Linked DNA regions of Pelodiscus sinensis. The protein of the gene in region 2 interacts with the protein of the main gene of each other region in a biochemical or structural test. Links are inferred from orthologs where the notes say so. Each region holds a gene or a part of one and is shown on either strand. Other genes may lie near its edges.

Region 1 (11,478 bases), on a different chromosome or scaffold from region 2:
TAAAGCCCTAATGCCATAGCACTTTAATGTGGCAGTGCGATCATGGCAAAAGTGCTGGGAAAGAATTGTCCCAATGTTCAATCTAGGTAATAGGGATTAGAGATGTTAGCTATGGGTTAATTGAATAGTTGAGTAACTTCATGAATTCTTATCAGTTAATCAACTATTCTATAGCCCCTAAGGGTGGGGCCAGCAGCCAGTATGCTCTGTCCTTACTCCTGAGGAGCCCCCTGCCACTCTGTGCTGCTGTCTCTGTTTCAGAGGCAGCAGCCACGGGTGGCAGCAGCCCCCATCTAGGGAGGGTCTGAGCTCCTGGACCTGGCATGAGCTGGAACAGAGCTGAGCTGCCTGCCTGGCTCCTAATACAATTTAAATGCATCAGGGCCCTGGACCCAGTGTAAGCCAGGACTGAGCTGGGCTGCTGGACAGCCTGCTAAAAAATTTACTTGCCAGAGAGAGAGGTCAATGCGTTTAGTCTATAGCTTTTGCTTACCAGTTAATCACCTAGCTAAGTAGTCTATTAAATGATTAAACAATAAGCAGGTGCTTATTGGTTTGCATGTAGCTGTAAGTGTTCTCTCTCCCTACCCCTGCAGCTCTTTAAGTACATTTTTTTAGAAGGCTGGCTGGCTCAGTCCAAGGTCATGCTGGGTCCTGGCACTGGTTCCTAAAATTCATTTAGTGCAGCTCGCAACAGGGGTAGTTAACGGGACCCAGTATGAGCTGGGACTGAGTGCTTGCAATGCAATCCCCTATTGATTAGTCGTCAAAAATGTTGTTGATTACATGATCAATGAATTGTATGCTTAACATCCCTACTAGGTAAACCACCTTCACAAGAAGAGTAGTTAGGAGCTCTGAGCATTTGTTTACACTGGTGCTTTACAGAGCTGTAACTTAATAGACTTTGGGTGTTTTTTCACACCCTTGAGCAAGAAAGTTACAGCGCAGTAAATTGCCACTGTGGACAAGCCATTATGGTGTGAAGTTGAGCATATATGTCAGTGATGGGCAACCTAAGCTATTGAACAGGCCACTTTGCCCCTCTTCATCTCATATTGTCGCAACCAAGACAGTCTCCTTGTAGCACTGGAATGGAATTTTATAACTAATAAGTCAGTTATAATAAAAGGTATGTTTTAGCAAAAGGATTGTATTAAACTTAAATTCAAGATGTAGGCGTCACAGAGGGCCAGGCAGCTTTGTTATCTTAGCTTCATCTTTGTTTGATGTTAGCATGTTAAAGTAAAGGGATGGAATATTGTAATATATAGTGATGTTAGTGTTAGTAAGGCCTTGTAGTAGATAGAAAGAAGTTTAATGTTGAAAGACTTTGTAACTTTTAACAAAGTTATTTAGTAGTACCTCTTTGTTCCATGCTGCAATTCTGTAAGGCTACGTCTACACTGGCCCCTTTTCCGAAAGGGGAATGCTAATTTTACAGGTCGTAATAGGGAAATCCGTGGGGGATTTAAATATCCCCCGCGGCATTTAAATAAAAATGTCCGCCGCTTTTTTCCGGCTTTTAGAAAAGCCGGAAAAGAGCATCTACACTGGCCCCGATCCTCCGGAAAAAAGTAGGAATAAGAGATCCTCCGGAAAAGGGCTTTTTTCCGGAGGATCGGGGCCAGTGTAGATGCTCTTTTCCGGCTTTTCTAAAAGCCGGAAAAAAGCGGCGGACATTTTTATTTAAATGCCGCGGGGGATATTTAAATCCCCCACAGATTTCCCTATTACGACCTGTAAAATTAGCATGCCCCTTTCGGAAAAGGGGCCAGTGTAGACGTAGCCTTAAATGTATTGTTTGCGTGAATGAGAGAGAGAATGTTTGAGGAGAGAGAAGCGTACAGGCCTCTGCCTGCTCAAATGGTCAGAGGTGCTTCGGAAGGACTCTGAAGGACTCTGAAGCACCAAATAATTATCAACTAAGTAAACAACTCAAAAGACACAGACTACCCAGGCAGACTGATGAGCGCTGAAGCTAGAGGCAAGCACCACTTGATAGGGAACCAATCATAACTTTTGCCAGAAAGACAACACCCAGGAGGGGTTGTCAGCTTACTGATACCAGATGACTGTGACAACTTCTTATCAATAAGCACATGTCCTAGGAAGACTGATTGTGAAGCTGAATGACTGACTAAGGCCTGATAAGGCAAAATGCATAGACTTGCATGGAAGGAAAGTCCTATAAAGGATTGGGTATCTGATTCTTCTGGTTCTATCCTGCTAAGATCAAGATGAGGAGGGGCATCAGTCCGTACTGACATGAACCCGGCTCCTATCTGGTCAATAGATTGGGCCGAGCAACATACTGGTAACTATTCATCTGCAGGATGAGTGTATGTGTGAGTAAATGCATATGCTACTTTGTTATATTGTCAATAAATGCGGCGTGTTGCCTTATCACCCTGAAAAATATTCCATATGCTTCTTATAAGCATAACATCCTGGGATGGAGTAGTTTTGCTAACTTCGCTTGCATACTTTGAATTTGCAAGGTGTACTGACTAAATCATAGCAGTTCTTTGTTTGAATGCAGGAGTAGGGATGTAAGCGACTAATCGACTATCCGATAAACGCAATGATGCTCACAGCACATGCCGAGGGCCACAACTACTAAGCAAACGCTTATTGGATAGCCAACACACTAGTTGACTAGTCACTTCCTGCCCCCTTTGCTGCCTTTACCACAAAGCCTAGCCTCCATGCGGGTGATTCTGATTTGAAACGTACAAGAGCCCCCGATTCTTGTACAAGTTCTTATTGACTAATAGAATAGTTGATGGAAAGTTAACATCCCAATGCAGGAGTGCACAGCTTTTACAGTCATGTTGTATGCAATCAGCATACACCTCACTTCATGTGTCATGTCACTTTTATAATACCAGTACAAAAAAATGACAGATTGAAACCAGTAGAATCTAGCAACTTTGCTCATGTCTTGGGGCCTCACATAGAACCCCAATGAGCCACATATGGTTCTCGGGCCATAGGTTGCCTACCACTGATATATGTCATTGTTCGCAGCAGTGCAAGCTAGCTGGCTATCCAAGAGAATCAGTAGTGCTGTCAAATGCAGAGCTAAATAGAAAAAAAATGCTGACTGACTTTTTACTTAGTAATCTTTGGGAGTAACTTGTAAGTGGAGTTTTATGCCACCTACAGACAGACGTGTCATTTTAAAGATGACAATATCCTTTTGACTTCAAAGGAACTGCCACTTCTCACTCCATTTGTACACATAAAATGTTCCCAAGCCATACTCCCCTGAGTTCACCTCAAATAAATCCTTAATTTCCATGACAAGCATTCCCCTCTTGCACACTCACACACCATTTGGTTATTTCACATGAAATCATTTCAGTCAGATTAACATATCAGGGAAAAGAAACTTCAGATAATCACAAGAAACTATTTTCTCATCTAAAGTTACCTTATGTTTGAGGATCAGACTGAAAATAGTTGTAAAGATTATTGCATCTACTCATATGACTACAGAGTTTTTCTTTGTTGTTATTTTTTTTTAAAAGGGAACCTAAGTGCCTCTCTGTGGAGGAGTCTGCATAGCCTGATGCTTGTGTTACAACTTGCTCAGTAGTTACAGTTATTGCAGTGCTTGGATCTGTAATGTGGTTTTGTAGAAGTTGCAAAACAAATGGGCTTGTTTTAACTGATTACAGCTTACAGTAAAATAAGAAAGTGGTTAAGTCTCCCTCTGCTGTGTTCTGATTTCCCTTGGATTTAAAAAATGAACTGACTCACAACACTCTCTACGCCAGGGCTACTCAATTCCAGAAACCCCAGGGGCCACAATAATACTCACAGCGCATGCGGAGGGCCACAACTAAGTGTGGTTGCAGATACTTGCAAATATATATGCAAATAGCTTCCTTCACATTGATGGGCATGAATACAAAGATTAATGCAAGACTACACAACATGCAGACCCCATTTAAGTCAGTTCTGCCTATATTAATAAAATGAAATATTTACCCGATTTCTATGCATATGACAGCACTTTTAATGAGCAATGACAGTCCAGAAATTTAACTGCTAAAATGCATATCAAAAGAAGATCATCATATTAATTCACCGTTGTGGAGCATGCTCCCATTGGAAGCCATGTTCAAAAGGTCCCACCCATGGGTCACTTGTTGAGCCTCACATAAACCCAAACTACACCGTGGGCCACAAATGGCTGTGGGCCGCATATATGCTAATATAGTAACAGCACTGCCCTGAGCACATTAGTCACAGTCGATGTAATTAGGACCAACACAGTGTCAGTGTAGACATAGCAATCTATAGAAGCACTCTCACTGAAGATCTGCATCCACAGACACTGACTCTTCAATGTGCCAGAGGATGCTCAATCCCCAGCTGTGTCCAAGACTTCATCGTCCTGTCCCTGCTCCACGTTTTCCTACTCTGTTCTATCCCCTCCCACCAGCACACTGTCTATTTACCCTTTCCTCCCGCCTCTCATGCACACCATGAAACAGCTGATTGCGGCAGGTGCAAAAGGCTGGCGGGTGAGGGAGAAGGTGCCAGTGGGTGCTCAGCACATAGGACAGACTGGGGCAACTGCCCCATGCTTTGTGGGGTGTGGGTTCTAAGACAGCCTAGGGAGTTAGTGGAAAGCCTAGTGCCAGCAGCAGCAAGAGACCTGTCCCCAGCTTGTCTCATTCCATTCCACCCTGACAGTTCTTGACTAGGGATTGAACATCCCTACTCCTGGCATTGCTCTGGGGACCAAAACTGGAGAGAGAGGGCAGGGGCTTCGGAGAAGGGATGGAGTGTGGACAAAGAGGAGGCAGAGGGGACAGGGGCACACTGTCCCAGGCCCCGCACTCCCTAGGGATGGCACTGCTCAGCACCCACCAGTTATTCCCCGGGGTGCCCCAGAGGAGTCAGCGCCTAGCCCCTACACAAGGCGCCCAGGCGGCACACAAGCGACGGAACGTGGGCAGTGGCTGTGCTGATCAATCCCATACTGTGGGCAGGGCCGATTCAGCTTCCACATCCCACGAAGGCCGCTCTAATGCTGAGCGCCGGGGGGGGGGGGGGTTACTGGGGTCTAAGCGCCCCCCTCTAACCGCTAACTGGGCCGAGCCCCGGCTGGATCCAGCTTCAGGCGGACACCGCGCAGCCGGGCCCTGTCCCCCCTCCCCTTCCCCGCCGCTCTGGGGGCGGCGCTGGCTGGCGGGCCGGGTCGCGGCACACACAGGCCCCGCTCAACAGGCGGCGGCGACTCCAGGGCTGGACCCGCAGCCCCGCACGGCGGGCACAGAGCGGCCGGGGCAGGCCCCGCGCCCCCGGAAGGGCCCCTGCCCGCCCCCCGGCCACGCCGCCGCGCTTACTTGCGCCGAGGGCAGCTGTCACCAGCAGCAGCAGCAGCGGCGGCGCCCACAGATCTGCTGGCGGCGCCATCCTCCCGCGGGGGCTCTGGCGTCCGGGGCGCTGCTGTCACCGGCTGCGCGTCTCAGCGCCGGGCCCGGCTCACGGGATAACAGACTTCAACGGAAAACAGCCTCGCGGCACCCGCCCCGCCCCCGGGGCCGCAGCGCGCATGCGCTTCCCGGCTTCGGAGAAACCGCTTGTCTTCCCAGAAACCCGCGAGGAGCGAGAGCGAGAGCGAGCGGGGGCGGCGTGGGGAGTGACGTCTCGTCTAGGGACCGCTGCTGCGTTCTCCCCTGAGTTTGTGTTTGTGGTTCCTGCCCACGGGCAGCGTGACAACGGGCGTGGTGGGGCCCGTTTCTGGGACTGCACGGAACTCAGCGCAGTGCCCTGTCCTCAGTCTGCGCTGGGACCAGCTCCCAGTAACATGGGGGTAGATAGATTGGCCGAGATCGCGAGCACGAGGTGTTTTATTGCAAGCCCCGCTCAGTAGTTACTGTAAGCGCATAAATTAGTTTTTTGGGGGGAAGGAGGAAAAGCTGCTCCTTCCATTTCCTTGCACCTTGGGTCTTGCTAAATTCATGGTTATGAATAATGCATCATGAACAGTGAAACCTGGTCCCCTCTCCCCTTGAATCTGGCCTTTTTCCTGCCTTTATAGCATTTCTCAAAATGGGGGAACCTGGCCCAAAAGGGAGTTGGGGGAGAGAAGGGTGGAATTATACTTACTGCTGCACTGCACTCCTTCAGAGCTGGGTAGCCAGCAAGCAGTACATAGCTTGCTAGCAGAAGCGAAGAAATAAGGGGCTTGTACGTGCCAGGTTGTGATACCTCCTTTTTGGGTTAGGACCCCTACAATTAAAATACCATGACATTTCAGATTTAAATAGCTGAAATCATGAAATTTGCAATTTTTAAAATCCTATGACTGTGCAATGGACCAAAATGACTGTGAATTTGGTAAGAGCCTAATTATTCTGGGGCTAGTGCCAGCAAAAAGATGCTCCTTGTCCTAAAGAACTTAATGTGTCTCTTAACTGATACTATTTTACTGCATTGGATTGTGTTTTAGTTAAGAAGAGATTTGCAATGCACCTAATTTATTTTAAAAAATATGTTAATGTTTTTAACAGAGAATGAGGATGCTGAATTGTGTTGAGAAATGTTTCCCTCCTATTGGATGTGTCAGAATGCCTCTGCTGCGTGCCCCCTCCGGGCCTGACTCCCCCCTCCCACAGAGAAAGGAAAGTCCCATCACCCGCCTCTGGGGACTTACCCAGTAAGTTCCCAGAATGCCAGGGAGCTAGGGCAAGGAAGCAGCCAGCACATTTCCCAAACCTCCGAAAGTGATGCACAGCTGTAGGACTTCTGTCTGCCCCGCGGGAAGCTGCCACTACCTCCATTGTTGTTCGAGGTATGTAGTGGGGCTTCTTGGGGATGGGGGGAAATGGGAGGCCCAGAACGCCTTGTGATCAACTGGTTGAGGCCTCGGGATCGACCAGTCGATCGCGATTGACTGGTTGGTGAACACGGCACTAAGGCTATGTCTACGCTGCAGGCTTCTTGCGCAAGAACTTTTTGCAGAAGAGATCTTCTGCAAAAAGTTCTTGCACAAGAGCGTGTCCACACTGCCATGCGCTTTTGCACAAGAAAGCGTCCACACTGCCATGGCCGCCCTTGTGCAAGAAAGCTCTGATGGCCATTCGCAGAATGGCTATCAGAGCACCTGTGCTTTTTCCAATAGGGGTTTCTTGCACAAGCAAGTAGGGTTTGGTGTGTGACTATCACTACCTGTACAGAGACAGCAAGGCCAGGAAGGCAATGCTGGTGTTTTTAGGGATTTGATGCACACAGGCACAGACAGGAATTCCGCACACTACAGGCAGGTAGATAGTGGTGAGATGCCTCATAATCCTGACAGGGCTGTCCCTTTCTGTGCTGGTGCCGTACACAGCCAAGTACCACCTCTGCAGTAGGAACGGCCACTCCATGGGGATGGGGAACTGCAGGGGCAGATGGTGTGCGGGACAGGGTTGTCAACTCTCCTACATCAGATGGACTCGATGCTATTTGCTGAAATGGCATCTGGTCCATCCAGTCTGAGGGAGTTAGCAATCTGGCACAGGACAGAGAAGCTCACCTGTGCCTCAGTGCAACAAGTGGCAGCATGAGTGGTAAGTGGTGCAGAGCTGGAGAGCAGAAGGCAGTTGTGCTGCTGGCTGGAGAGAAGCAGCACTTTGAAGGGGAAATCACTACTTTCCTCCTGCCTTTGGCTGCACTTCTGCTCCCAGCTCCTTCGGTGTAGGTGTCCTGGTGTCCTTCAGACCATTCTTGCACCACTCACTGCCACCTGGTGAGCAATGGCTGGGCACAGAGTCTGCGGAGGGGGGCACGGTGGTGGCCGGGAGATGGGGGTGGGAGTTGCCAAAATCAGTGCTAAATCCATGGGGGAGGATAGAGGATGGTGTTGGGAGTTGTCAGAGCTGGCACTGAGCCCACTGTGGGACGGGGAGCTGGCCAGAAGAAGGGCTGTTGTGGCTGTTGCTGAGCCCGTGGGAGTGGGTGCTGGCAAGGAGATGGGGATGAGGGCTGCCTGAACACTGGCACTGAGCCCACGGGGGGAGAGGGAGAGGGAGGGGGAGGGAGGTATGGACAGAGGACTGTCTCTAGGCATACACAGCTTGCTGCATATACCTAAGGACGGTCTTGAATCCTGTGTACCCCTGGGGAAAGTCACAGCATGTTGTGAATTGCCTCACCACAAGTCCATTCACTATATCCTCCACACTGCTGAGCGTCAGAGTCCTGCACAACAGGAAATGATTAATGGCCTTGGATGCTTGCAAACCCACAGGAAGTGCTGCAGTTATACTTTTTGAATCTGCAACAAAAGCTTCAGCGGGGTAGCCGAGTTAGTCTGTAACTGGAAAAACTTAAAAAACAACAAATAGTCTTGCAGCACCTTAAAGACTAACAAAACATGTAGATGGGATCATGAGTTTTTGTGGGCACAACCCACTTCTTCAGATGAATGGAATTATTAAAGATCCAGTTTCTAAATAAATATGGGATGAAGGGGGAGAGAGAAGGAAAAAAAGGGGAAAGGAATAGTCAATGACAGTGTCCATGCTACATAAAGCTGATAGAAAAGGTGCAAATTGTTCTTAAGTACCCATTGTTTGTTTTTTATGTCATTAGGTTGTGGAATGTAGTGGGCCATCCAGCCAATGTCTTTATTCATACCTCTGTGATAGGAATCAAACTTGTAAATTAAGTTATGTTCTAAGGCAGTGGTCCCCAATGCCATGCCCGCAGGCGCCATGGCGAGTGACCAGGGCCGGCCCAAGCCATTCTTGCAGCCCGGGTGCACGGCGCATACATGGTGCTGCGCCTGGGCATGTGGCGCATGAGAGGCCCCGCCCCCCAAGCGCGCGGCTCATGCGCGGCCCCGGGCGCCGGGTGCCCGGCAGCCCCAAAAGATTGGGAACCACTGTTCTAAGGCTTTCCTATGTAATTGGCTTGTGGAATTGGTCTGAAACAATAGGGTGACTTTGAGACCCATTAATGAGTGTCTGGGGAAGTTAAAATGTTCCCCAACAGTTTCTGTGAGTTGCCTTTTTGGATATCTGATTTGTGTTTATTAATTATCTGCAACATCATAAGAACAGTGCAGAGCTTGGTGTGCTCCATGCTTCTGTCAAAGAAAGACATTGAAAGGTGCTGAATGGGTTTGTGGGATTTAAAAAACCAAATAAAATAGTGATGGTATTATGGGATGGTAGAGATTGCATGCTGGGAACTAAACTCCTAGCTCCCAGAGATCCCCATGTGTCAGTTCCATCCTGCAATACTCAGTGAAAATTTCCTAAAAAGCATCACACCAAATGGCAGATGAGATACCTACCTATGGTGCCCTGAAGACACAAGCACTCCTGTTGAGTATCTGCCACGCTAATGCAAGCAATGATACACAGACTGGTGTATTTACACCAATGTAAGTGGCATTGACCAGTTTGTAGTATAGTGGCATTAGAAGCAGAGGGTAAATAAAGGTTGGGAGACCTAAAACTAGAAAAGATGACCCAAACTATAAAAGCCTTTTATTATCTGCGAAGTTTAATAAACTACTGGGAAGGACAAGCAGGAGTCAAAGAGCCAATCCTATATAGATGGGTCTGAGGCTAGATGATGATGTTTGTCTTTATAATTCACTTCATTCTTAGATCCAGTCTTGCGCAAAAACAGCAGTTGCAACCACTTCTAACTGGCAAGGCTCTTTTGAAGCTCTCAAGCCAGCGTATTCCAGACCATAAATATACAATCACCATTTTCTATTTTTCTAGTAACATTTTCTATTATGGTAGCAATCAGCAGGGCTCGACAAACTATACAATCTTCTTGCCTGTGGTGAGTAGATTTCAGCTGCGTGCCCCGTTCATTCGCGGCGCGCGCATGTGCAAAGTGGCTCTTGCGCATGAGCAGTACGCGACTGGCAAGCGGTTTTTGCCACCGTTTGTCAAGCCCTGGCAATCAGGATAGGAGCCTTGTTATGCTGGGTGTTACATTAACGCAGAAAAGAGAAATCTGCCCTGAAAGCCTTACAAGTTGATGACACGAAGGGTACGTCTACACTACAGCGCTAGTTCGAACTAACTTAGTTCGAATTAGTTAATTCGAACTAAGCTAATTCGAACTAACGCGTCTAGAACTAAAAACTAGTTCGAATTAGCGTTTTGCTAATTCGAACTAGCAAGTCCACATTGAGTGGACTCTGAACAGGGCTTAAGGATGGCCGGAAGCAGTGCCGGCAGGGCATAAGAGGAGGACTTAGAGCGTGGAGATGCTGTCTCAGGCTAGCCGAGGGCTGCGCTTAAAGGGTCCCGACCCCCACCCCGGACACACAGTTCTAAGGGGTGCCCCGCTTGCAAAGAAGTTCTGGCTTGGAGTGCCCGGAGTACCCACACTGGGCACATCACACCACTCGGCCATCAGCCCGGCTGCACTTGCCGCAGGCTGCCATCTGGGGAGAGGGGGCAATTGGGGGGCTGCAGGAGAGCTTCCACCCCCAGAAGCCCGCAGAGCCAGCCCAGTCCTCCCCATCGGGGGCTCGTACCCCATTCCTCCCTCACCTCCTTCCACTTACCCTTCCCTAGCCCCCCTTCTTATTGATGTACAAAATAAAGATAACGTTTCTTCCAACATTGACTCTGTCTTTATTGAACAAAACTGGGGGAGACCGGGAAAAGGAGGTGGGAGAGGGGAAGAGAAAGGCTGGGAGAAGGGAGGGCAACTAACATGATCAGGGGTTGGGAACAGGTCCCAGATGAAGAAAGGCTACAGAGACTGGGACTGTTCAGCTTAGAAAAGAGGAGACGGAGGGGGGACAGGATAGAGGTCTCTAAAAGCAGGGGTTGGGTGGAGAGGGTGCATTCAGAAAAATTTCTTCCTGAGTTCCCATAAAGAAGGACTAGAGGACACCAAAGGAAAGGAATGGGTAGCAGGCTTGAAACTAGTAAGAGAAAGTTGTTCTTCTTCCCAAAGCAAATAGTTAACCTGCGGAACTCCTTGCTGCAGGAGGCTGTGAAGGCTACAACTAGAACAGAGTTTAAAGGGAAGTGAGATCAAGTCATGGAGGTTGAGTCCATGGAGTGGTCTTAGCCAGGGGGTAGGAGTGCTGTCCCTGCCCAAAGTTTGTGGAAGGCTGGAGAGGGATGGCACGAGACAAATGGCTTGGTCACTGTCTTCGGTCCATCCCCTCCAGGGTCCCTAGGGTTGGCCGCTGTCAGCAGACAGGCTACTGGGCTAGATGGACCTTTGGTCTGACCCAGGACGGCCATTGTAAGCTCAGGGCTCAGGGTCGGGGGTCTCAGTGGACCCCCTTGATTTTCATGCACACCTGCTCCTGGGTGGCCAGGCTGGCAGCTCTCCTGCCCTAGCCGGCCACTTTCCTGTGCCTAGTGCGGAGATCGTGGACAAGGTCCACGATGTCCGCAGTAGCCCAGGAAGGTGCTTGCCTCTTGCGGTCCAGGGCAAGCTCCCAGGAGCCGCCAGCCTGGTCCCGGGAAGAGGGGGTGGGCT
Region 2 (11,065 bases):
CGGTGGCGGAGCTGTCGCCTGCAGGGGACGCACAAGAGACGGGCCCCTGAGCCCCCCAGCCGGAGCCAGGGGGGTGGGCCGGCTACCCAGGAAAGGGGGCTCTCCCCAATACAGCACTAGGGGGCGCGGCGGGAAGCCAGGCTGAGGGGGTCACTACTCAGGGAGGGAGGGAGGCAGACTGGGGGGCTCTGGTCTGGCAGGGAGTGGGGGAGGCACTGTGCTGCTGGGGGGGGCACTATGAGCCCAGGGATCGGCCCCTGCCCTGCCTTGCCTGCTGGGCTGCATGGCCCCTGCTCAGAATGGCCTTCTCCTCCAGCAGCAGGTTGGCGATGACGTTGGCCAGCTCCTCCGGGCGCTCCTGGTACTTGGCCTGGAAGGAAGCCAGAGGCGTTGGGATCGGGGGGGGGGGGGGGGGGCACAGACACCCTGCCCCACCCCCCTGGACCCCACCCACCTCCTCTCCCCCCAGCAGCCCGGCCCCCACCTGCAGGTTGAGCTTGGACTTGCGCAGGTTGTGTTTGAGCACGAAGTCCTCCTGGCGGGTGCCGAAGCGGCTGTACTGGTCGTCCAGCATGGCCAGAAGGGTGTGGAACAGCATGTGGGCCTGGGAGGAGTGGGACTCGGACACAGGGAGCTCGGCTGCCTGGCTCCTGGGGCAGAGACAAGGGCGCACTGCAGGGTCCCCGCCCCCAGACCGCCCCGCGCTGCCGGGAGAGCCCGGGCTGCACCCCACTCCTCCAGCGGGGACCCCCGGGGCTGCACTGTCCCTTTCCTGCCCCTCCCCCTCCAGCAGGGACCCCCGGGGCTGCACTGTCCCTTTCCTGCCCATCCCCCTCCAGCGGGGACCCCCGGGGCTGCACCGTCCCTTTCCTGCCGTCCCCCTCCAGCAGGGACCCCCGGGGCTGCACTGTCCCTTTCCTGCCCCTCCCCCTCCAGCGGGGATCCCGGGGGCTGCACCGTCCCTTTCCTGCCGTCCCCCTCCAGCAGGGACCCCCGGGGCTGCACCGTCCCTTTCCTGCCCCTCCCCCTCCAGCAGGGACCCCCGGGGCTGCACTGTCCCTTTCCTGCCGTCCCCCTCCAGCAGGGACCCCCGGGGCTGCACTGTCCCTTTCCTGCCGTCCCCCTCCAGCGGGGACCCCTGGGGCTGCACTGTCCCTTTCCTGCCCCTCCCCCTCCAGCAGGGACCCCTGGGGCTGCACCGTCCCTTTCCTGCCGTCCCCCTCCAGCGGGGACCCCTGGGGCTGCACCGTCCCTTTCCTGCCGTCCCCCTCCAGCAGGGACCCCCGGGGCTGCACCGTCCCTTTCCTGCCGTCCCCCTCCAGCGGGGACCCCCGGGGCTGCACTGTCCCTTTCCTGCCCCTCCCCCTCCAGCAGGGACCCCTGGGGCTGCACTGTCCCTTTCCTGCCCCTCCCCCTCCAGCGGGGACCCCTGGGGCTGCACTGTCCCTTTCCTGCCCCTCCCCCTCCAGCAGGGACCCCTGGGGCTGCACCGTCCCTTTCCTGCCGTCCCCCTCCAGCGGGGACCCCTGGGGCTGCACCGTCCCTTTCCTGCCGTCCCCCTCCAGCAGGGACCCCCGGGGCTGCACCGTCCCTTTCCTGCCGTCCCCCTCCAGCGGGGACCCCTGGGGCTGCACTGTCCCTTTCCTGCCCGTCCCCCTCCAGCGGGGACCCCCGGGGCATGCCAGCAGAGGTGCCTGAGGGTCGCATCTCTTCTCCTGCTCCCCCTTCCCGCAGGGCTGCCTGTGGGGGTGTCACTCCCCTCCCCCACACCAGACCACCCCCGGTTCAATCTGAGACGTCCCCAGCGCTTGCCGTGGGTCCCAGCTGCTGACTCTGCCCCCCCCATTAACCCTTCCCTCGCTGGCCGTTACCAGTTCTGGTCTTCGAGCCAGGGCGCCAGGTACTGCCGCACCTCCATGGGCAGGTGGTCGTCCGAGTACAGCTGGTGCACCTGATCCAGGTAGGCCTTCTCCAGCTGCTGCACCTCCTGCCACTGAGCCATGCTGGGGGCCGTGCCAGCCCCCCTCTGCGGAGCAAACCCAGGCAGCAGGTGAGTGGGGGCCAGGGGCTGGGACAGCAGCCTCCCCCTCCTGGGGCACAAGGAGCCTGCGTTCGGGGATGGGTCGGTCCCAGCTCTGCAGCCACCGCTGGGAAGGGAAACAGCCGCTGCCGCTGCCTCGAACCCGGCTCCCCCAGGGCCTCAGCAGCACAGAGCAGGGTCACTCCACACGGGGCAGCTGCCCCAGGCTGTGTGGAGAGGGGCTGCTGAATGGCACTGGAGGACCCCCATTGCCTGTGCCCCCCCCCAGCATTCATAGCTCATGCTAGCAACTGGCTTTCTTTTGGGTAAGAATCCAGCCCTTGGCTCCCTCAGCCCTGCCAGTGCCCCTCACTCCTGCCCCCCAGCCCTGCCAGTGCCCCTCACTCCTGCCCCCCCAGCCCTGCCAGTGCCCCTCACTCCTTCCCCCCCAGCCCCTGCCCCCACAGCCCTGCCAGTGCCCCTCACTCCTGCCCCCGCCCCTCACTCCTGCCCCCCCCCACCCTGCCGGTGCCCCTCACTCCTGCCCCCCCCACCCTGCCGGTGCCCCTCACTCCTGCCCCCCCCACCCTGCCAGTGCCCCTCACTCCTGCCCCCCAGCCCTGCCAGTGCCCCTCACTCCTGCCCCCCAGCCCTGCCAGTGCCCCTCACTCCTGCCCCCACAGCCCCTGCCCCCCCAGCCCTGCCAGTGCCCCTCACTCCTGCCCCCACAGCCCCTGCCCCCCCAGCCCTGCCAGTGCCCCTCACTCCTTCCCCCCCAGCCCCTGCCCCCACAGCCCTGCCAGTGCCCCTCACTCCTGCCCCCCACAGCCCTGCCGGTGCCCCTCACTCCTTCCCCCCAGCCCTGCCAGTGCCCCTCACTCCTGCCCCCCCAGCCTGTGCCCCCACTCCTGCCCCACAGCCCTTGCCCCCCACTCCTGCCCCACAGCCCTGCCGGTGCCCCTCACTCCTGCCCCCCACAGCCCCTGCCAGCGCCCCTCACTCCTGCCCCACAGCCCCTGCCCCCACAGCCTTGCCAGTGCCCCTCACTCCTGCCCCACAGCCCTGCCAGTGCCCCTCACTCCTGCCCCACAGCCTCTGCCCCCCCAGCCCCTGCCCCTCACTCCTGCCCCACAGCCCCTGCCAGTCCAGCCCGGCATAAAGGGAACCCACCAGGAAATCAAAGCTGAGGAAAGATGTAGCAGCAGTTGTCAGAGCACAGATGCCTCCCTAGGTCATTTAGGACAGTTTCCAGCCTCCGCCCGCTATGGCCACAGGGGCCTAGCGGCTGGACCCCCCCCCCAAGCCTGCATCCCTCCATGGGAGCGTCTGCAAGCTGGACAAAGCAGCAGCCTGTGGATGTGAAACTAGGAGAGGAGACTCAACCGCAGACACAAACCACAGGCCCCAAGCCGCAGGGCCCCCGCACGAGGGCCGTAAGCTGGGGGGCAAAGCTGGGCTGCTTTGGGGGTGCCAGGAAATGAGCCCTCCGGTTCCTGCAAAGCCCTCACCCCGTCTCACTGGGCTCCGGGGGCCTCTGCAGAGCCGCTCGCTCTGGGGAAGGTCTTTAAGGGCAGGAACTGCACAAATCCTTGGGAGGAGCCGGGGCCCTTCAGCTAAAAGGGGGAGCCGAGGGGGGGCCCAAGGCTGGGCGTTGGGAGCGAGGGGCACTGGCAGAGCTGAGGGGAGCCCAGGGGCTGTGGGGCGCAGTCAAAGCTGAGCGCCACACATTGAACACCCCCTAGTTCCGCCTTTGAACTTCAGCGCCACCCTCCCTGGCACCCAGCCACTTGACACCATCAGCGCGTGAAGCCATTTCCAAACATGCCCCCCCACCCAGGCCCGAGTCCTGCTCCCAGCTGCAAAAGCAATTTGCTCTCCTGTCAACCCCCGAGGGAAGGGAGATGGGGGGGGGGGGCGCGCGTGCCAGGGCTTGGCTAGACCAGGGCTCAGGTGAGGCACCAGGTGCCCTGCCGTCAAAGCCTGTCACCCACGGCTGAGTGCAACCCACGTCCTCGCCTCTGCATGTCCCCAGCCCTCCCTCCTGGCTCGGCTCCGGCGGGGTTGGGGCTAACCCCTTCAGGATAGGCTGAGGAGGGATTCGGTGCACCCGAGGGCAGAAAGGGCCAGGCCAGGCGGTTTCTGGCCTCACCCAGGGGCTCGGGTGATCAGACTCCTGACCGGGCTCCCCAGGGGGAAGCCAGGAAGTCAACTGCAGCTTGCATCACATGCAGAGAGGGGCGGTGTCTGCCCCACAGAGCACGTTCCCTGGGCCGGGCCTTACCTGCCAAGGGGCTGCAAGTGCCAACCACTGCCCAGAGCTGCACCCCCGCCATGACAGCCCTGCCCCCTGCTCCACAGGGTTCATGGAGGGAGGGGTGGGGCTAACACTGGTCGGGAGACTCCTGCCCCAGGGGGCAGGGCACCATGACAGCCAGCCCCGAACCGCCAATACCAGCCCCACTCCATCCAGAACCCCCAGTACCAGCCCCACCCCCCACATAAAGGGGGCACTGTGAGGAGGTAAAAAGGGCTTACACTGCTCCTTAACAACTCATCAGCTGGCAGCGACAGCAGCCCCCGGACACCCCTCCACTGCCCCCAGCCCCGTCCCCAGAACCCCCCAGTGCCGCCTTTACCCCTTGAGCCCCCAGCCTCTCCACTGCCCCCTGCACCCAGCCCCAGCTCTAACCACTAGAGCCCCCAGCCCCCCCACTGCCCCCTGCACCCAGCCCCAGCTCTAACCACTAGAGCCCCCAGCCCCCCCACTGCCCCCTGCACCCAGCCCCAGCTCTAACCACTAGAGCCCCCAGCCCCCCCACTGCCCCCTGCACCCAGCCCCAGAGCCCCCAGTGCCAGCTCTAACCACTACAGCCCCCAGCCCCTCCACTGCCCCCTGCACCCAGCCCCAGCTCTAACCACTAGAGAACCCAGCCCCAGATTCCCCAGTGCCAGCTCTAACCCCTAGAGCCCCCAGCCCCCCCACTGCCCCCTGCACCCAGCCCCAGAGCCCCCAGTGCCAGCTCTAACCCCTAGAGCCCCCAGCCCCCCCACTGCCCCCTGCACCCAGCCCCAGAGCCCCCAGTGCCAGCTCTAACCACTAGAGCCCCCAGCCCCCTAGTAGCCCCCATCCCATTGCCTGCCCCGCCCCCCTCACCTGGCTCCGAGGCTGCCCGGCTCGCTGGTGTTCTAAGCCTGCCGTGCCGGCCTCCGCGCGACCCTCCCACCGCGCAGCGACCCGCTCTTCCTCCTCCGGGAGGAGACCCCGCCCCTGCCCGACGCCGGTTGGCTGAGAGGCGGGGCAGGACACGCCTCCCTCCATCAGCGGCGGCGGGAGGGGAGGCGCTAAGCGGAAGACCGGAGCCCGGGGCCGAAGCCAGCCTACTGAATTCCCAGAAATGATGTAACAGGGGAGAAAGAGGCGGGGCCTCGGAAAGGGGGCGGAGCTATACTAAGAGAGTGAATGAGGGGCGGGGCCCGCAGAGTGGGGCGGCTTCGCCCACTCTCCCCACTGGGGAGCCCAGGCCCCAGCGGGGGGGCCAATCCAACACCCCAAGCCAAGCCCCCCAGTGCCGGCCCCTCCACTGCCCCCCTGCATCGCGTCCCCAGAGCCCCCCAGTGCCGGCCCCTCCGCTGCCCCCCTGCATCGCGTCCCCAGAGCCCCCCGGTTCCAGCCCCTCCGCTGCCCCCCTGCATCGCGTCCCCAGAGCCCCCCAGTGCCGGCCCCTCCGCTGCCCCCCTGCATCGCGTCCCCAGAGCCCCCCAGTGCCGGCCCCTCCGCTGCCCCCCTGCATCGCGTCCCCAGAGCCCCCCAGTGCCGGCCCCTCCGCTGCCCCCCTGCATCGCGTCCCCAGAGCCCCCCAGTGCCGGCCCCTCCGCTGCCCCCCTGCATCGCGTCCCCAGAGCCCCCCCGTGCCGGCCCCTCCGCTGCCCCCTGCATCCCGTCCCCAGAGCCCCCCGGTGCCGGCCCCTCCGCTGCCCCCCTGCATCCCGTCCCCAGAGCCCCCCCGTGCCGGCCCCTCCGCTGCCCCCCTGCATCCCGTCCCCAGAGCCCCCCCGTGCTGGCCCCTCCGCTGCCCCCCTGCATCCCGTCCCCAGAGCCCCCCCAGTGCCGGCCCCTCCGCTGCCCCCCTGCATCCCGTCCCCAGAGCCCCCCAGTGCCGGCCCCTCCGCTGCCCCCCTGCATCGCGTCCCCAGAGCCCCCCAGTGCCGACCCCTCCGCTGCCCCCCTGCATCGTGTCCCCAGAGCCCGTCGGTGCCGGCCCCTCCGCTGCCCCCCTGCATCCAGTCCCCAGAGCCCCCCAGTGCCAGCCCTAACCCCTAGAGCCTCCAGCCCCTCCACTGCCCCCCTGCTGAGGGACATCCCCCTTCTCTCATCACCCTGCCAGGGGTTAGTAGTCCCTGCCCGGGGCTCTCCCTGGCCCTGCAGAGGAGGGGCAGGCATGGTCTTTGGGCAATGAATCAGCTCCTGCAGTACCAGCAGTGTCGTCCCCCCCCCCGCCCCAGGGACATGCGAGGATGCAGCCCAGCCAAAGGGGGATGCCAGGCCCAGCCCCGCATGGCCCTATGCAGAGCTGCAGGGGCTCCTCTCTGCCCAGGCTGGTGCTGCACGGTTCTCTAATCTTCCTCCCCCTTCTGGGCCAGGCCCCAGCCCACGCTGCTCATGGGAGGGTGACGCGGCTCCGGGGAGCAGCTGGGTTCCTCCGCCTGGGGATGGGTCTCTCCAATAATCCGTCATTGCAGCTGGGCAGATGTTTCCACCCTAGCCAGCTGGCCCCAGAGCCCAGGCACTGCGCTGGTGTGAGTAGTGGGGTGTGCTGTACACGCTCTGCGTGGGTGTCCCCGTCCCCCAGCACCCTGACACCTGGGCTAGGTAGTGGAACCTGAAACAAAGCAAAGGGTGCGGCTGCCGGGGGGCTGAGTTGCTGGAGGTTTGGGCAGGCTTGGCAGAGGGAAGCATGAAGGAAGCAGACTAAATCCAGGGCCTGTGAACCCCTTTCCCCCGAGAGGACGAGGCTCTGCCCTGGCTCCTGTGTCAATGTCGAGCCTGCGCTGCCCTGTATCTCTGGGAAGCAAATCAACCTTCTGTTCTGCAGCTTGGCTGAGTCTCACATCCGGCTGCAGACAGGGGTGCAGGGTCGGGGGCTCCCCGACGCGGCGCCGCACCTTGGTCCTGGGCACACTGCAGGGGCCAGGGTTTGCTCACAGGGGCAGGGAGCTGGCGCTCTCTCCAGGGCCCCTGCCGTGTAGCTTCGGCTCTCAACGCACTTGTCAAAAGGCTGGGGACTGATAAATGCACCCAAGTCAAGACCAGAACCCAGGTGGCCTCGTACCCTGCTGTGACCACTAGCCCACGCTTTCCCGGTTGGTAACAAACTGCGTTAGGCAGGACGAGGCTGGGCCGGGCAGGCCACGTGACTGGGGGAAATTTGCTCAGCCAGCACCTTTGAGCCCTGCTGATCTTTATAGACACTTGGCAGCTGGCTGTCTGGGTCAGGCTAACCCTGGCGAGAGGTCATAAGCCCTTTGTCAATTTCATGCACAGGCGCCCATGCTGAGCTCGCAGGCACATGGTGGGGGTAGGGCCTTCCCACCTCCCCTGAGGCCAGACTCCAGCCCCAATGCCTGCTGTGGCTGAGACAGCAGGCCAGCAGGACTGGGTTGAGACCCAGCATCCTCGCTGCATGTAGGAGGGTGCAATTGGCTAGGCCTGAAGCTGGGCTGGCTATAAGGCAGCTCCCCTCCATGCCCCCCCCCCCAGCTGCCCCCATCACAGACACCGGCACTAGGATCAAAGCACGGGGGGTGCTCAGGTTTATTCACACTCGCCGCGTTCCCAGTGGGAAGGAGGTGGCTACCCTGAAGGGGCCAGAGAAGCTCGTGGGCAGGGGTTCAGCCGGCGCCACCTGCCGGAAGTAGCTGATCAGAGACCGCACGCCCACTTTGAATGCTGGCCTCAGCCCCAAGGCCGCCCCCACGGCCATGGGGCTCCCCATCCCGCCCGTCAGCCCCAAGAGGGCGTCGTAGCCCAGATCCATGGCGGCCTCGAGGCCCCGGTCCTGGGCCAGCTCGGTGCAGTTCCGGAAGGCGTAGTACATGCTGGTGCCCACGTTGTAGTACGTGCTGACCACGGGCACCCACTGCAGCACACTGTGGACCTTCTGCTCCCGTGCGTTGCCGCAGGCTGCCACGGTCCCGCGCCGGCTCCTCCCGGCCCGGCTGCAGCGGTGAAGCCAGGCTGGGGCCCCGCGGCCCGGCAGGGAGTAGGCGCCGTGCCGGTCGATCACGGAGAAAGCGGTGCCATTGGGCGCCACGCCGGCACAGGCAGCCCCCAGCTGGCGGCAGGCGGCGGCGGCGGCGGGGAAGGTGGCATGGGTGCTGGCCACCGGGCCCAGCAGCAGGGAGTCGAGCCGAGCCAGCCCTGAGCAGCGCTGGGGGTCCACGCCTGCCAGCTGATCCACATTGAAGAGCAAGGCGGCCCGGCCTCTCCCACCCTGCTTGGGGGCTCCGGGCAGGCTCGCTACCCCCAGGAGCAGAGCGTTGGCATCGTCCGTCCCCACCGCCTCGTAGAGCTGCAGCACCAGCGCCTCGGCCTGGTGGGGGCAGCCGGCCCCTTGGAGGGAGAGGGCCAAGGCTGCGCTGGCGAGGCTCCAGGGCAGCGGTGGGAGCTCGGAGAAACCCTCCAGGGCTGCGGGCAGCAAGTCGGGGCAGGAGACACCCCTCCTTGGGAGCCCCGGCTGGGGAAGCTGCAATGGGAGGGAGCCAAGCAAGGCCCTGGCCCCAGCCCGCTGGCCGCTGGGGAAGGGGGAGACAGCCAGGCCTGGGGGCTTGAGGGTCCCAGCGGCGCCTCCCGGGCGAGTTGTGGGGAGCAGCAAGTGCCCCTCGAGCTCAGGGCCCAGCAGGAGTAGGCAGAAACAGAGAAGTGACGGGTGCATGGCGGGCAGGTCCTTCGGGGGGCAGCGCAGACCCTGCTGAAGGGGACACGTCACAGACACAAGAATTCAGAGCCCCTCCCTGCCACCCAGGATCTGCTGCTATTGCCACAGCTGGGGGCGGGGACCAATCTTTGTCCTCTGGAGCACGGCAGCATGGCCAGCCATGCCCCAGCTGCACAGGGCTGGGCTAGGAGGGGGACTGGAACGGGGGTCACTGCAGAGCGGTAGGGGGGCAGCGTGGCCTAATGGACAGGACACAGCATTGGGATGCCGGAGGTCCCTGTCTTGCTCCCAGCTCTGCCCTTGGCCTGCCGGGCTCTGTGCCTCAGTTTCCCCATCTCTACCACACCCTGAGATCCGCAGACAGGAAGTGTGACCGGAGCAGCTGGGACCGTTCTGGCAGGGACGCCAGCCTGGCGCGAGCAGGTGGCTGCAGGTTGGGAGCAAGGGCGCCGACAAACCCCCAAGCCTCTGGAGCCCAAAGGGGGCCCCCCCGGAGCTGGGCACGGGGAGGTGGTCCCTCAACACAGATGGGTTCTGGGAGCAAAACAGGCCCCTCCTTTCCTATGCAGTTAGAAGCAGCTGCACTGAACCGGGTGGCAGGGTGCACCCCCCCCCAAGGAACCAGTGAGGCCGGTAGGCACCAATTGGGCCATTCCCCCAGGGCACTGGGCTGCCTGAGTTGGAAAAGAGCCCCCCCCCTCCCGACTGCTCACCAACATCAGCATCCAGGGGAGGGCAGGGAGCAAATTCCCACCCTCGATTCAGCCCAAGGGACCCACACAGCATAGAGCTTCCATCCCCCCCAGGAAATAGGGCATCCCCCCCCCCCCCCACTGCCAGGGAATTGCACGCTGAGGGGGGAGAATGATGTAATAGCAGTCCCCCCCATAACAGTCCCCCCCCCAGTGAGAGAGCCACCCCATCGGGTTTTGGCACCTGACGCTCGTGCAAAGGCCTAGTGTAAACGTGCCCCCTCCCCGTGCGAGAGCAAACCGCGGCAGCAGCGGCGTTAGGGCTTCTGCTCACCTGGGGACAGATGAGACCAGGAGCTCCTGGGTGCGGGGAGGGATGGTAGGATGCCTGGCCCGCCCGGCCCCTCTTATAGGCCACCGGGGGGAGGTCACTAGGCTAGGGGCCCCCTTATCAGGCAGCTGATCAGCCCACCGGTCCCTGCTCCCTTCTCTCCGGGGCGGGTGCAGGAGCCTCAGGCTGGGGGGCCAGCCCCTTGTGGGGCAGGCAGCAGGGGAGGTGGGGACTGGGAGGGAGGGGAGGGCAGCGAGATGTGGGTGAAGCTGGCCCAGGCCCCCCTCCTCAGGCCAGCTCTGGTGCAGGAGGCAGTGCGGGGGAGGGCAGAGCCAACCCCCAGCCTGGGGCTGCCACAGGGAGGGGCGCTCAGAACCCCCCATTGCAACAGGGAGATAAGGGAGCAGGTTCAGCCCATTTTATTTTGGCCTTTGCCCATTCGCAATGACACAGCAAACAAGGGGGGGGGGTGCGCGACTCCTGCTGGAAACTAAACGAGGAAGGGGGCTGGGGTGCAGGCCCCACGCAGGGAACAACCCGGGGAGGGGGGCGTTAAGGCCTCTGGGGGCGCAGCGAGGCACCAGCAGAACTAACGCCTCCCTCTGCTGAGCACACCAAGGCACAGCTGCTCCAGCCCCACTGATCCAGCCCTACTGCTCCAGCAGGGGCCCCTCCTGGCTGGCTGACAGGCCCCAGCAGATCCACCATCCAGCCCCAGGCATCATGGCACCTCCTGGGGGGGAGGGGGGGTTCCCACGCTCAATCCACTGGGATTTGGGGGGGGGGGGGCAGAGGGGTCTGTGTCCTGCTGGGTGGACACTGGGGCATCTGGGCCTGGCCAGGACAGAGGGGCTGGGCCTGGGTCTCCCCTCCCCCAAGATGCCCCCTTCCCACGTGAGGCTGCAGCCCCCAGGCAGGCCACTTCCCGGTGACTCCCTTGGGGGAGGCAGCCACACGAGGGGCAAGAAACAATTCAGCCTTGGGCCCCAGAACCCAATTCCCAGGGGTCCCCCCACCCTGGGGCTTTGATCCCTCGGAGGGGGAGGGGGAAGGGTCAGCCCTCAATGCCAGGGGGACGGGGGCTGCC

Evidence for each region.
Region 1: the proteins of STAT2 (region 2) and IFNAR1 form a complex in vitro, tested with the Homo sapiens proteins (2 studies listed by BioGRID). The link is inferred for Pelodiscus sinensis from reciprocal best matches to the Homo sapiens genes STAT2 and IFNAR1.

Annotation. Positions count from the first base shown.
Region 1 is NC_134711.1:183,375,553-183,387,030, reverse strand, and holds the start of IFNAR1 (interferon alpha/beta receptor 1), read right to left. Parts: upstream 5,506-11,478; 5' UTR 5,434-5,505; coding exon 5,364-5,433; intron 1-5,363. UniProt on the Homo sapiens protein: Together with IFNAR2, forms the heterodimeric receptor for type I interferons (including interferons alpha, beta, epsilon, omega and kappa).
Region 2 is NC_134729.1:3,802,711-3,813,775, reverse strand, and holds the start of STAT2 (signal transducer and activator of transcription 2), read right to left. Parts: upstream 4,514-11,065; 5' UTR 4,386-4,513; coding exon 4,302-4,385; intron 2,027-4,301; coding exon 1,872-2,026; intron 651-1,871; coding exon 485-650; intron 371-484; coding exon 272-370; intron 19-271; coding exon 1-18. Other genes in the region: APOF (apolipoprotein F), read right to left, coding at 7,837-8,952. UniProt on the Homo sapiens protein: Signal transducer and activator of transcription that mediates signaling by type I interferons (IFN-alpha and IFN-beta).